Linked DNA regions of Oreochromis niloticus. The protein of the gene in region 2 purifies or fractionates together with the protein of the main gene of each other region. This does not show direct contact. Links are inferred from orthologs where the notes say so. Each region holds a gene or a part of one and is shown on either strand. Other genes may lie near its edges.

The links.
Region 1: the proteins of them4 (region 2) and akt1 purify together in Homo sapiens (co-immunoprecipitation; 4 studies listed by BioGRID and IntAct, with this or other methods). This does not show direct contact. The link is inferred for Oreochromis niloticus from reciprocal best matches to the Homo sapiens genes THEM4 and AKT1.

What each region holds. Positions count from the first base shown.
Region 1 is NC_031983.2:8,882,651-8,890,412, reverse strand, and holds the start of akt1 (RAC-alpha serine/threonine-protein kinase), read left to right. Parts: upstream 1-4,695; 5' UTR 4,696-4,850; exon of another isoform or gene 4,851-5,126; intron 5,127-7,762. UniProt on the Homo sapiens protein: AKT1 is one of 3 closely related serine/threonine-protein kinases (AKT1, AKT2 and AKT3) called the AKT kinase, and which regulate many processes including metabolism, proliferation, cell survival, growth and angiogenesis.
Region 2 is NC_031976.2:20,580,708-20,587,633, forward strand, and holds the start of them4 (acyl-coenzyme A thioesterase THEM4), read left to right. Parts: upstream 1-3,859; 5' UTR 3,860-4,207; coding exon 4,208-4,321; intron 4,322-6,559; coding exon 6,560-6,752; intron 6,753-6,926. Other genes in the region: uncharacterized protein si:dkey-87o1.2, read left to right, coding at 162-216, 615-732, 871-904. UniProt on the Homo sapiens protein: Has acyl-CoA thioesterase activity towards medium and long-chain (C14 to C18) fatty acyl-CoA substrates, and probably plays a role in mitochondrial fatty acid metabolism. Plays a role in the apoptotic process, possibly via its regulation of AKT1 activity.

The DNA.
Region 1 (7,762 bases), on a different chromosome or scaffold from region 2:
CCCGACAAACTAAATGTTTAGTCAGATGTGTGGCACATACAAAAAACAATTTACCATTCAAGCACTGATGCTTACACAAACACTCCATCCAAGCAGGAGCAGTGATGTGGATAAGAATAGGAGCAGTGGCCCTGTGTTTCCCTGGCCCTGGCAAACGTAGGCGCCCAGTAGAGGAGGGGTGTGTGTGTGTTCACAGGGCAAGACAAAGCAGTGGTTGTGCCTGGGGACTGTGGCCTCAGCAGAGAGAGGCTCGGCACGGTGAAGGTTCTCACACACAGAAAAAAAAAAGATAGGGAAAGAGAGACAGAGAGAATGAGAGCGGGGGAGTCGGGAGAGAGAGAGAGAGAGAGAACACTTCCTGGAGGTTCATTCTTCTTCTCTGCAATCATCAATGGCATTCTCTCCCTGACCCACTCCTCTCTCAGACAAACAAAAGACCCCGCATTCCAGTGTAGCCTGACTGGCCAACCAGCCAGAGTTGAACCACATCACTCTCCCTGCTGGACCAGAGTCTGATCATAGTTGTGGGTTTAAGCTGTGCTGGTGGTGTCTGTTTGAGGGTGTTTATAATGCATCTCCATGCATAAGGGCAGTAAAGTTTATGTTCTTTTGAAATGGTTTTAATATTGGGGAGAGTGATGTTATTTCACTCTCACTGGCCATGCAGATTTAATCAAATTACCTTTTTTTAAACAGGTGCATCTTTTATGTAACTGGCAGAGAATTCAAAACAAAGCTTTGCAAAACCTTTTAACCCTGTTTTTAATTAATAATAGCACAACAGCAACAAATTCAAAAGGCTGCGATGTTATGGTTTTCTTTTGTTTATTTGAAACATATATGCTTATGTCTTTAAAAAAAGTGGGATAAGAGGATGTTTGCCACTGTGGTGTTGTGAAACCAGAGAGATCAATTACTGCAGTTTTGTAAGCCAAATGTATTTCTGGGCTTGTTTGATATAAGATTTCAGCTCTTTAGCCATTCGGGGCCTTCTGCTTTGTCATTTTAGTTCTGTAATTTTCCACATTTCCAGTTTCGGAGTAAAGTCGGATTGGTTTAACACCTGGATTCTTTTACTGTAGGGCCCCGCTGCTATAATATGTCCAGTAAGTGGTCTAGTGTCATCCTCCTGAAAAATACATGAGTGGTAGCACATGTTCTAAAACCCTGCATATATATTCATTCAGAATTAATGGTGATTTTAAAGATGTGAAATTTACCCGTACCCTCTGCATCCTGTGCACAAATTCACTTCCTCAGTATCACAGATGCTGGCTACTGAACTGTTTGCAGATCATCTGGATGGACTCTCTCTCAGCTGGGAGGACACGTCTTCCATTATTTCTGAAAGGAATTAAAACTTTTTAACCACAGTACAGTAATTTGGTTTTTTACTTCAACTCAGTCCATAATAAAGGGGTTCAGACCCAGAGAAGTCAGTAGCATTTTCCATGTTGTTCATAAGTGTTTTTTTCCTTTGCCTTTCAGAGTTTAACTTGGAATAAACTTAACTTTTTGAATAAAACAATAAATGTATGTCTGTTCGCTTAATAGTTTTCAAAAGTGTTCCTTTTGAATTTTTACTTCAGATTTTCACTTCAGAATTGTGTTTGTTTCCAATGCAGTGAGTGTTAGTCTTTGGCCTAGTCCTTTGCATACAAAGAGTTCCCTGCGATGTCTACCTCTTTTAATAATATTGCATACCAAAGAAAATTCTCAAGTTCATGAGTTGCAAAATTTAATTCAATTCAGTTTTATTTATATAGCACCAAATCACAACAACAGTCGCCTCAAGGCACTTTATATCGTAATGTAAACCTCCTACAATAATAAAGAAAAAACCCATCAACAATCAGACAACCCTCTATGAGCAAGCACTTGGCGACAGTGGGAAGGAAAAACTCCCTTTTAACAGGAAGAGACATCTAGCAGAAACAGTCAAGGTAGCAATCCTTAAAATTTTCAACTATTTTCCCATGCAGTCCTTCACAGATGTTTCACTCTCTAGGAGGCCAATTTTACAACAATATTTTATATTATTTGCCTGTTGCCAGTCAACCTAACTGTAGCTGTAAGATGAGCCACCAGATGTTTTAGGGGTTTTCTATTGTTGTCCCTAACTTTTTTGGAAATAGGATGCTGGAATCACGTTAAAAACAGTTGCCAGCTTTTAGAACCAATGCTTTAATAACTGATAATCAGTTGTTTGTGTGTATCTTCTAGGAGTGATTTATCACAACAGCTGCACTGGTTAAATAAAATAAGTGTCCCTATATCACTCACATACTTTTAGTATCTCTTATACTGTTCTGTACTGATCCTGCTGTTTTACACGCAATTTATACAACAATAGTTGTGTGATTCTTTTGCTTTGTTTTTTTTAAATATTACATTCATCTAATAGTGTAATAGTTTAAGCAAAATTGCTTTGTAGTTGACTGGAGATGCTGTTTTGGTCAGCTTCCCCACCGCCCCACGTATCCATTCACCCAACACCTCCTCCATATTATGGCCCTCCTGCCCTTCTGTGTCTAATTGTTGTTACCGCGTGTTATCTATTCTCCTTTAACGGGCCATTAAGTTCTGTCTGTACTGTTTGTTGTACTCTAGACAGATACTGCAAGTAGACAGGGATCAGAGATCAGATGAGCCTTTGATGGGAGAGATGCTATTAACTCACTTTGACTTTTTAATCTTGTTACTGTTACGTTTGATCCCGCAAAACAACAGAGCGGGCATTCCCATCAACAGGCCAAAGAGAGTGGGTGGAGGAGGAGGAGGAGAGCACCAATGAATAGCAACTGGAGAAAATATGGGATACCCTAAGTCAGCTTTGCCTGTATGACAGGAACAGCTTGGCGAGGCTGACACATGGTAGCAGTGAGAAACACATTACAGCGTGAGTGACAAAGAGGGGAAATGACAGCAGAGGAGGCTGAGAGACAAAGGGCACAAGCCAATGAATTTTTCATCACAAGAGGAAACATTGGCAGCTTTCCCCTGCTATCCTGTTCTTTTAATATTATTAAGTCATTATTGCGGGAATTGTCACATGCACTGTCTTGCTTTTATAAGTGATACATATATTTTACTGCACTTCTAATGCTGATTCAACTTTGAGGCAGTCAACTACACCATGCTTGGAGATAGAAAAATAATGGAGGGGTAAGACGTAATGGACGTGAAGAGGGTCGTGAGTATCACAGTGTAAAGCAAGATAATGGAAATGTTAAAATGGGAGGTCTCTAAAATGTTTTAGACTTCTAGTTAGAAACATTTTGATCAAGTATACCCAGTCATCTGAGGGCGTCATTTGATACATAGGCTCCCTGACTTCTTTTAAGCAGACTGAGCTGGCCTGTCTGTACCTGTCCAAAACTGGTTTAACTCCTACCTCTCCAGTGGAGTTCTCTGTAGCTGTAGATGACGGTTTATCTAACACAACAGGTAAAAGTGTGGCATGTAATCATGAACAACCCTCAAGATTTTTACCTTCTCGTTCAGCTGTTTCATCTGGTATATGCAGTTAATTTAAGAGAGTATCTGCATGAATACAAAAAGATCAGTGGCAAGGGCTAAATCAGACTAAATACACTTCTGCAAACACATTCTTGTGTTCAGCACATCTGCTTTACCCATTTTGAGGTATTTTGTTTTAAGTGTGTCAGACTGAGACATTCTCACACTTCATGTTTAGTTGGCATTTCCTGGAAATGTCAGAGGCCCTTCCACAGCAACTTGAAGAGAAAGCGTGTACCAGTGCTTTTTGGTACTGGCAGATGTGACTGGAACCAGGTGATCGAATGTGTAAAAGTCCACCACCGAGCCTGATGCTTTAGCGCTGACGTGCAACAGAATGGAAGCAGCAGCACATCCTGCTTATGGTTTCTTCTTTAGTAGTGATTTTAATATAATTTTACTAGATTACACAAGGCTACACATGTGTCTGAAAGAACCATATCTGAAACTAGAGCTAGAGCTTCACCTTTTAGAAGCACAGCTCTTTACACAGTTTTAAGGTGCATAACCTTTTGTTTTCGTGGTTTTGATTGGTTGGTTGACCTTATTTTGGATAAAGCTTTATTTACTTTGACCTAATTTCACTTATTATAACTGTATTTCCATGTTAACAAGTTTACCCATCAAATACAACTTGCTTGAAACAAAGACACGGTGACAAACTTGTACTTTTCTTTCAGATACAGCTGCAGCTTAACTTGTTTAAAACCCTAGAAGGAGTTTTGTGAACATAAAATATTTTATTGTAATATAATTTTAAAAGTTATTAAATAACAGGGCAGATGTGAAATGACAAAATGATAATAACATACTAAATGAACCAGTTTAGCTCTAAAAAACGTTTTTCTTAGTCTTTTCTTATAGCAAACTTTGCAAGACTGTAATTTTGAACTTTTGTAAGGCACTAATATACAACATCTGGACTAACTGGGAATATCTGTGTATATTTTGTGACCAAAAAACATGTAATCAAAAAGACAAAAAAAAAGTAATACATAATTACAGATGATTGATGACTAGAAGCACCTTTTGCAACCCTAATATAGCTCATCGCAGAGCAGGTAGAGCAGGTACCAAAATGTAATTCTCATCTTGTAGCCTGCATTACCCTTGTGGTTGTTCCAGGAAGTCAAAAAAACCCACCTAAGTACACTTAATTGAAGCGAGGATCCCTTGAAAAACATACAAGGTCCTCGGCAGGTCCCCGAAACCCATTTTGGAAACCACCGGCACAGATAAAAGAGCAGAGAGTTCAACAAGGCCATGCAGAAGAAGCACCACTGCAGTTTTTTTTTCTTCAATGGGACGCCTGACAGCCTACTACTCCTTCTGTGAGTGTGACTCATTTAAGGGCGGCTTTAGGACCCGGGAGAGACGGCTGCCACAGAGGCATTGCAGACAGCGCGTTTGGGAGGTGTAGTGGAAGAAAGGCAAGAGAAACGGAGTAAATGAGAGCACTTTGTCCAGATTGTTGAAGGACCCGTCAACTTAAAACACCGCCGAAACAGCTCACTATAATGAGACGGACACATTGTTGAATTCCTGTCCAGGTAAATGTCCGCGTTTCCTTCGCATGGTTAACTACAAGAGTTCGACAGCTAGACAGGGTAGGTCCCCATTGTACTTACATGGGATGCGGTTATTCTCACCCAAGCTGCCCTGCTAGGCCCCATATCCTTTCTAACGCTAGATGCAAACCTGAAATGAGGTACTTTCCTGACTTCACTTCGCCGTAAAAAGTTGTCTCATGACGAAAAAAGTCGACGGCTCATTAATTTCCTGTAGTGAATTCTTAACGCTCGGTGTTTTTCCACAAACAGCAGTGAGTCTCTTTAAGATGTTAACCATTCATTTTTTTTTTTTTTTTGACAATGACCACTTTTGAGACACAACCCTCGGGCCAAAATATCTGCAGTCAAGTCGCTTGAAACGGTTCTCCTCTTTGCGGGAAAAAAGTTGGGTTTTTTGGCGTTGTGCTTTATGGTCCTGGAGGGAAATGAAAACAAATGAGCTCAACAAGAGAGAGCAGCTCATTCATTGTTGTGAACTACCACCGCGTTTGTTTACTTGTTTGAGTGAGGCATTTATTGCCATCTTATCTTTAGCCATTAGCTTTGCTGCCTGCCTGCCGAGAAGCTGCTGTGGCCACAAACAGTGCTGCTTTACAAAAAAGAAAAAGTTATGCGTCTATGTTGTGACTTGTTGCCACGCGTTTACTTTTTGGTCCACAATTTAGACACAGACGTCATAAGAAAAAGTCCCAACAGTGTAATTTAACGCCCCCCCCCCGTAATCAGTACAACGGCATAATGCCTGTGGATAAGTGTGTTTTGATAGTTTTCACTGGCCTCACTGCTAGCATCCCACCTACAGTAATGACAGTTGTGTAGGTCTGCACTCAATAGTTTTTTGTCTTAAAGGTTTATTATTATAGTATTCTTATCAAGTTTGAGAGATATCAAGTGATCAAGGGCATAGAAATCTGATGGGCTTTCAAATTTCAAAAGGATTCTTGCAGGATACAAGGCTTGCAATCATGTTTAAAACTTATTTTACTAATAATACTGTCTGTCTCCTTCTCCCAGGGTGCATGCATGTACTAAAAAGAGAACATTGTCCCCGGGTGTGTTGTACCCACCATGCCTTCAGTGTCAAAAAAAAAAAATGTTTTTATCAGTCATGAGACTACGTCTGTCCACTGTGTGTGTACGCAAGGGGATTTGGCATGTGACCTGGGGAAGACGCAACAAGCTGGCGCAATGATGCAGCCAGTGACTGCTTGGCTCTCGCTGTTCTGTTTAGAAAAAAAACACCCACCTCCCACCCAATCCCCTCGCAGCAGCTCGGTTGACGCAAATCTGCCACCAGTTGCATGCAGAATCTGAGGAATGTTGTTTGAAATTTTGTCCAAAACAGACAAACAGGGGCCTGGATGCATCACCAGAGTCTGGATGTACTGAGACTGAGAAAGAGGTGGTTCTCGTACCGGTGTCCCGGACGTCACTCTTCTCCATCTGTGTCACAAAAACTGAAAACAAAATACTTTTGTTTTCCTTTTGCTTTTCTGTGTTAACTTTCCAGCCATTGTAAAATGATTCTCATGAGGTGTGATGTGTGTGTGGGGGGGTGGTGGTGATTTGAATAAATTAAGCTTTGTGTTGCTTTTACAGCTTGTCTGAACAGCCTGAATATGATTACATTAACATGAGTCATAAAGTGGTTGGTGTTCGTGTCATCGTAGGATTAAAGCGGCGAGTCTGCTTGCCTTTCAAGGTTGCAGTCACTGCGGTTTTGTGTTCAGTTAAAGCTGCCCGCAATATTCTTATCAATAATGGTGTGCTTTCAGGGAACTTGAAAGAGGAACTTGGTAGCGTAGTAGATCACCGTAATACTGGCTCCACTGTGGTATTTGAGCTCAAACTAAAGTGTTGCTTTGGTGACTTGTTTTTCAGCAACAGGTTAGCGTGATGTCATTTCTTGTGTTTTTAAATACTTTCAGTGTAATGTTTTACTTTTGGAACCAGAAACCATGTGGTAGTTTTTCTGTTAACCGAGCAGAAACTGAAGCAAAAAATGGTATCTATTAATCTGTGATGAAGGAAGTAGCGTGGTGATGTCGACCTGATTTTTTTTTTTTTTTTTTTTCTTCTCCCCTGCTTCCTGCTATAAACACATGGGACTATCCTCTCTGGCCCAGTGACAAGCTCAGTGTGTGGCAACTTTTGCTGCATGACACTGATTTGCATTGAATGGGGTGGCCCCCGGCGTTGGAGCCAGAAAGATGAATGATTGAAAGCCGCCCTGACATCAGGGCAGGCAGGCAGGCGGTGGCCCAGAGGCCTGAGGACCATGTGACCCGCTGTCAGGGTACTGGGTTCATTCAGTGGCTGCTGGCTGCAGCGCTGGCAGCGGCCCAGCTTTTTCCACACAGGCCGCAGTAGCAACAGGTCGCTCCCATTAAAACAGCAGCGCTCTGTTGTGGCTCCAGAGCCGGTCTTGTGCATGTGTTGCTTTTTTGGCTGCGGCGTGTGTGCGCTCAAGTTTGTTTGTGAGGTGTATCCCAATGTGTATATAATGTGTGCGTGCCTGTGTCACAGAGTCCACACTAAGATGCCGATGGGATCCAACGGTTTTTGTGATCCTTACTTTGAATTGCACTCTGTGTGCTTCCCTTTTTTTTTTTTTTTTTTTTTTTTTTTTTTTTTCCTTCTCAAATCCCTCTCCAGGATCCTTCCAACATCGG
Region 2 (6,926 bases):
TGCATGCTCGTGCTGCAGTCTAAATATTAATTAAAAAAAAGGAAGAAAAGGATGATGTGAACAACTGTAATACATTTAAATATTTGCTTGATTGTCTCTATTTGAGCTTCATTCCGCAGTTAACCAGTGTAACTGCTGACTTCCTCTTTTTTTCTCATTAGGAGAAGGCGGAGAAGACGAAGGCTAGTACAACAGGGGAAATAGATCAACTCAAAGGTAAGCCATCTTTCTGTTTAAATTCTGCTCTGCTGATATCAGCTCTTGACTAACACATCCATAAATATGTTACACACACTACACAATGATATGGGTCAGATAGGAGAATAAGACAAACATTTCTGTGTCTGCATTTTTAAATGCACTGGGTGGGGTTTTCTTTTTCAGTTTTCTACACAAGAAGAAAAAGAACCGTTCCATTTTTACATTCCTTTATGGGAAACCTGTAAAACCAGCTGTAGCAACACTGAGCCACATGGCTCCATCTACAGGACTTGTAGATTTCAGTTACTGTACAATCCAAATATTTGCTTTCAACACAAAGCTACCTGTTTCTAATAATACATTTACACATTCTCAGTTTTGCTCTCATTTGTTATTATGTTTTATTGTCTCAGTTGATCACGAAGCAGCTAAAAGTAAAGCCCAGGAGAACATTCAGAGCTTGAAACAGCAGATTTCGGATAGAGATAAAGCTGTCTGTGCCTTTGTTGATACAACCAAGGAGGAAGGACGGTAAGATTTTAATCACCAGCATGCATCGTTAATAATAATGTGGATTACCGTAGATCACCGGGGGGCTACTGTAGAAGTCTATTTAACACGTCTCTACTGCAAAACTGAAAACTGTCTTTTGCTTTCTTGATTTTTCAGGAAGTTGTGTGGAATAACTCAAGAAACACAGTGAAGTCACTTCAGAACTGCACAACAATGACTAGCAACTTTTTCAGAAAAATATTTGTGCATCCAAGTTTTGTATCAGCACTAAGGTTATTATGGAATAGTAACAAAAAAAGAAAAGAAACTCTGCACATTGACTCAGAGAACAAGTATACGGACATGTGAAATAGAGAAATAGAATTCATTTCATATCATAAGAAGGAAAAAAGGTTGTATTTGTAATATATAATGTGGTGAACATCCCACAATAATTCTATGTGCTCAAAATTTTGCGCCTAATATGGTGATATAACAATATAAGTAAGCAATATAAGTAATAGAAATAACTCTTTGATTAGTTATAAGGAAAGATTATGGTTTGGTTAAAGTAACCCTCTTATCAACGTTTGCCACGTCTGTCTGAGTGTTCTGTGATAGTGTGTTTGAGCTGAAATAACCCCTGCAGAAGCTGTTTGACTGCTGTGGTTGGGTACCTGATGTCAAACACTGTGGTGTCTCCTTTTATCATATTTTTACTATTTTTTTTTATTTTTTATTATTCTTTTGAATGTAATAAAAAATAGAAAAAGTGCACTTATTATTGTAACAATGTACAACATTTTCATTGTAGCTCCAGCAGTAATGAAAAAGCGACCTGGCAGTTATTTTGCACTGGTTTTATGATGTGGAAATAATATTTTTGCTAAAAAGTTCCAGTTATTTCTTCTAGTGACACAAACCAGATCTAGTTTTAAAAAAAGGACACACAGACCCAGATTTTATTCAGTTTCTGTTTGGTTTTTATGAATTTGATGTACTATTTATGCTTCTGGGCCATAAACAGCAGACCTTTAAGGAGTCTAGAAAATAGATGCAATGTGTGTAAAAGTGTAAAAACATTATATACATCATTTAATGCTACTTTGAATATAAAGAAAGCCAAAATGATAAAACCTTTTAGATTTAAGAGGCAAAACCTAAATTATCACGTCTGTTCAAATAAATGGTCCTTCAACTCCCCCTAGTGCAGAACCTAGGGTTAAGACAGACTATGTTACTGACATTGTGCCTTTGCTGATACAACTAAGGAGGAAGCACTTTCTTACAGGGGATCACTTTTGGAGGAAACTATTACAAGAATAACTTGAGTACGCTGAACTTGTTACAAAACGTCTTGTATGAAATTAGATCACCAAAAACATTGTGGGTTTATTGAGTGCTGTATGGATGTACAATGACTAAATAAAGTGTTTTGTGTTCCTAAAGTTCCTATAAATTAACAAGTGTAACCTTAGTTATTATTGCTCATTTTATTTTTTACCTTTACAACTGATTGCACCTTTTTCAACATTGCACTCACACAGTTCCCTTTACCACCTTCAGCTAATCTGCAGGCAAGATGCCTTTCTTCAACCTTGTGCTTACATGATAGCCTTGTATTGAAAATAACCGGTATTTTTAAAGGCTATATCAACACTGAATCACTTATAAACATATGATAATCATAAATTATTATAAATAATGCATAAATAGTGTAAATGTTTTGTTTTGCTGTTGTTGTTGTTTTGCAAGTTGTTACAGAAATACTTGCTACCTCTCCTTCAACCTCCACCCACTTCTAAACTTAAAATTTTTTATTGCTCAACTCAAAACATTCAGGCATGTAGACGTTTAAATGACCTGCTCAAGTTGGAACCGAGCACCAGAATGGAGAAGGAAAGTGATTTAAATGACTCTGAAGGTGGCATGGTTGCTGGTCCCAGACAGGCTGGTGTGAGTATTTCAGAAGCTGCTGATCTGGTGGGATTTCCCCACACAAGCCATTTTTAGTGTTTACTGAGAATGGTATTAAAAAGAGAAAAGAATAGCCCTTTATTGTCACTGTACACATACATCGAAATATCAAGCAAGCAGCAGTTTTCTGAGTGAAAATGTCTTGTTTATGCCAGAGGTCAGAGAAAAATGACGAGGCTGCTTGACCATACTGGGCTTCACAACCCTCAGCTAAGAACAGGATGCTGAGTCTACAATTTGAACCAAAAATAGAACAATAAAAGACTGGGTAAATGGTGCTTGGTGTGATGAGTCTTGATGTCTGCAGTAGCATTTAAATGCTGTGGTCAGAATTTGATGTTAAGTACATGAAAGTTAGGATCAATGAAAGCATGGATCCAAACTGCCTTGTATCAAGGCTTCAGACTGGCACTTGTGGTGAAATGTTTTTTGGGATATTTTCTTGCCACATTTTGGGTGCCTTAATAGCAAGTGAGCACAGTCTACCTGAGTATTGTTGTCGATTATGTCCATCTCTTTGTGACTAAAGTGTACCCATCTTCTGAAGGCTGCTTCCAGCAGCATAATGCACTATGCCACACAGTTTAAGTCATCTTTGTACTCAAATGGCCTCCACAGACAGCAGAGATCAATCCAATAGAGCATCGTTGGAATGTGGTGGAACAGTAACAGTTGCAGAAAGTAAACTATTATCTATTATCTTGTCTCTAGATAGAGACAGGAGATTTATATTTGCACATTACATTTTAAAATTATGTTGCATTAATTAAGTTAACAATATATAATAAAAACTTTATATGTGCTATACCACAAAAAAGTTCCAAATATTGCAATATGCTTAAGTAAAGAAAATTATATTTTTAATAAAATAAATAATAGGTACATTAATCTCTAAGTTTTATGAGTAAAAATAACTACAGAAAAATAGTCGATTCTGTTAATTTTGTTATTTTTGTTATTGTCTAAGCCCCATATGACCTAATTGAGTCTCTCTTTTTTAGTTTCTTCTCAAACTATTTATTTGTTTCCAATAAATGTGTAAACTTTTTTTTAACTGAATCACAACTATTAAAAATCTGCCGTGTCTCGGTAAAGTTAGAAAAAAAAGAAAAGAGAAGAATAATGGTGGTTACCAAGGGAACAGAAAAAAAAGTTCTATTTGACAGCCAATTATATTGGAATCTGTATGGCACGTGACTCTACCCAACCGACGCAACGGCAGAACTCCCTCACGCCGGAAGTTTACAGCCTGATCTTGACACATGAAAGTCACCGGTAAAATACTAGCAGTGACACTCGTGATAGGACGTACTCCTATTCTGTGAGACAGCGGAACATAAACACGGGTCAAAGATGGTTAAGTCACTTTTATTTTTAAAGCAGACCAGTGTTTACTGCAGCGACCGTAGTCTGTTAGGACGCTAACAGACGACAGACAGCTAACTCTCAACGATCCGTTACAGCATAATTTATCTACCTCAGGTTATAGAAGTCGGTTTCTGCCCAGCTTTCCAATCATCGCGGGGACAGTTTACAGATGGCAAGGAGTCTGGGTCGAATATTCAGGGGCTTTCAGAGCCTCGGTTCTCTCGCATTCATGAAGTCTGAACTCAGCAATCCCCCTGCCAGCGTTTCATTGAAGAGCATGGTGGTAGGTAGACATGTGAGCCGTATTTTATGAAAGACTTTTTCATGGTGCATGTGAGTTGTTTGCCGTGTTATGTTCTTCTCCCTCCTGCCAGATGTTTCTCTAGTGTTGTGACTGTACTATCCCACAGCTAAATAAAGTAAAAGCACATCACAGCTTAAAAAACACGTGGCCAGCGTGAGAGTTTGTCAGCTTGTTGGAAATAACAAACAAACCAAAAACATGTAAGATGACTATAACGTAGTGATTACAACTTAAAATAGCAGGCCATGTTTCTACAACACGACCACAGAGGTCAACATCATCACAGATAACATAAGAAACACTTTATCCAAGGGTTGGAAAATTATTTTGTTAACCCAATTAAAAATGAAGTTCATCATGACAAACATGTAAACAGTAACAAATAATAGTGTTATAGAAAAATATAATAACGTACAATCGTGTGAAGAAGAAAGTTTTCTGTACTTCTTCTTGTTAAAAACTACTATTAAAAACTACATCATTACATAGGAATTAGGTATTCGAGTTTATATGAGTTAGAATTTATAAGATCATAATAACCTCCACACTTACATCAAGAAAATCGTCCTGTTCTAACTCTTTACTCTTTGTACTCTTTACTCTAGTCGGCAATAAGGTCATTTACAATAGCAGAATGTCTCTCTCTGTATGCATACAAGTGTACATATACACCTCAAACGCACAGGCATACAAAACAGAATTAGGAGGGTAAGTATTAGTCAACTTCTCCTCATGGAAGACAACAGATTTATTAGATTTATTAATTACCAGCAATTGCTAAGATCTCTATAAAGGCAGACGTTTTGGCATTTTGCTGGTGTGGAGTATTCAGCCTTCCCAGGAGTTGACGTCACAACAAATTCTCCCCAGTGTCAGATCATGCATTGCTTATAAATTGCAACATCTCAGACTCTACAAGCTTCAGTTATCATGATAAATATTAAAGTTCATAACAGTGTGATTAGAAAAAGACAAATAGGTTTTGTTTGGAAGGGCTGCCGAGCGAATGTTTCTTCCCTATGAAAAGAGTTTGGCTGCACGACTCAGGTTAGCAAAGTAACACTTGAACAAACATATCAGGAAAAATGTCCCTTTGACAGATGAGACCAAAGTGGAGGTGTTTGGTAAAAATGAAACAAATCAAATGAACACAAACACCTCAAACCCACAGTGGTGGAGCGGTGATGATTTGGGCTTGTTTTTTAGCCACAGGAGCCGGGTACCTTGCCTAAGTATTAACAATTCAAATGCGAGGACATTTGTCTGACAGCAAAAGTAGAGCAGACATTGAGTCATGCAACAGGACAATGATTTCAAACACAGAAACAATAAATCTACAACAGAATGGCTGAAAAAGAAAAGAATCAAGGTGCTGCATTGGCTCGCTCAAAGTTCAGACCTAAACCCAACTGAAATGCTGTGGTGGGACCTTAAGAGAGCTGCGCATGAATAAACATGAATGAACAAGAATGAGCTGAAATTCCTCCACGATGATGTGAGAGTCTGATAAAGTCAAGCAGAAAAGAAGTAGTTCAAGTTATTCCTGCTAAAGGTGGTTCTACAACATGCTGAATTTTTGTCAGGGTTTCTGGGTCGTTGACCCAGTATTTTCAGTTCACGTTCACCGTTTCTCTACTGCCGGTTCCACTTCCTGTTTTATTGTGTTAACCTTGGTCTGTGTTCATTATGTTCAGCCCTCTTCCCATTTATCAGTAGTTCTTTATGTTCAGCTGTTCACTCACCTGTCACCTATAAGTCATTATTCAGCCAGCATATTTAAGTCCTCAGTTCTCTCCTGGTCTTTGTCGTGTCATTGATGTTATGTTGTTGTTCCCGTTAGTTCTCAGTTATTCAGTCAGCCAGTCACTCCTACCGTTCCTGCTTTGTTCGTTCACCTGCTCCCAATAAACCCTCATCACTTCTGCACCGTGAGTCCAGCGTTTGGGTCATCTCTTCCACGCCTCCACACACAAGACCTGACAATTTTTCACAGAGTCCAATGCAAACTTTCTTTTTCATATGACTGCAAATATGACAAAACTAATGTAGCTAAATTAATACTTTTCGCTCATTTTGGAAAATGTTTTCATGACCCCTGTTGACTTAATAGAACCACAAATATTAAAGCAGTAGTCATATGGTATCTATATGAGACATCCACACTTTGTCATTACGCTTTTAATACTAACAGACATTATATTTTATTTCTCTGTTTAGCAAACGCTTCCATCGGTCTTTTCATCCAACCCCCGGGACTTCAGCCTTCCTAACCCCTCATGGGGCACAGAAATGAGGCAGCTGTATGAACATTATAACAGCCAATGTGAGGCGGTGACAGACGGAGGAGAGGAACAGAGTGGACTGTGGAAGAGACTGCCAAGCTACAATCGTTCTCTGAAGTACGCTGCAGGTAAATATACAGACCAAAAAGTTTATCTGAAATAAGAACAAGAGAATTTCTCAATAGCTCCAAAATTACTATGTTAAACAATCCAAAACATGATAACAACTTAGCTTTTTAGTAAAAAGAAAAAACGGTACACAAGGAGCTCAGTTGAATAGAAAAATTTAAAGGGGATTCAAA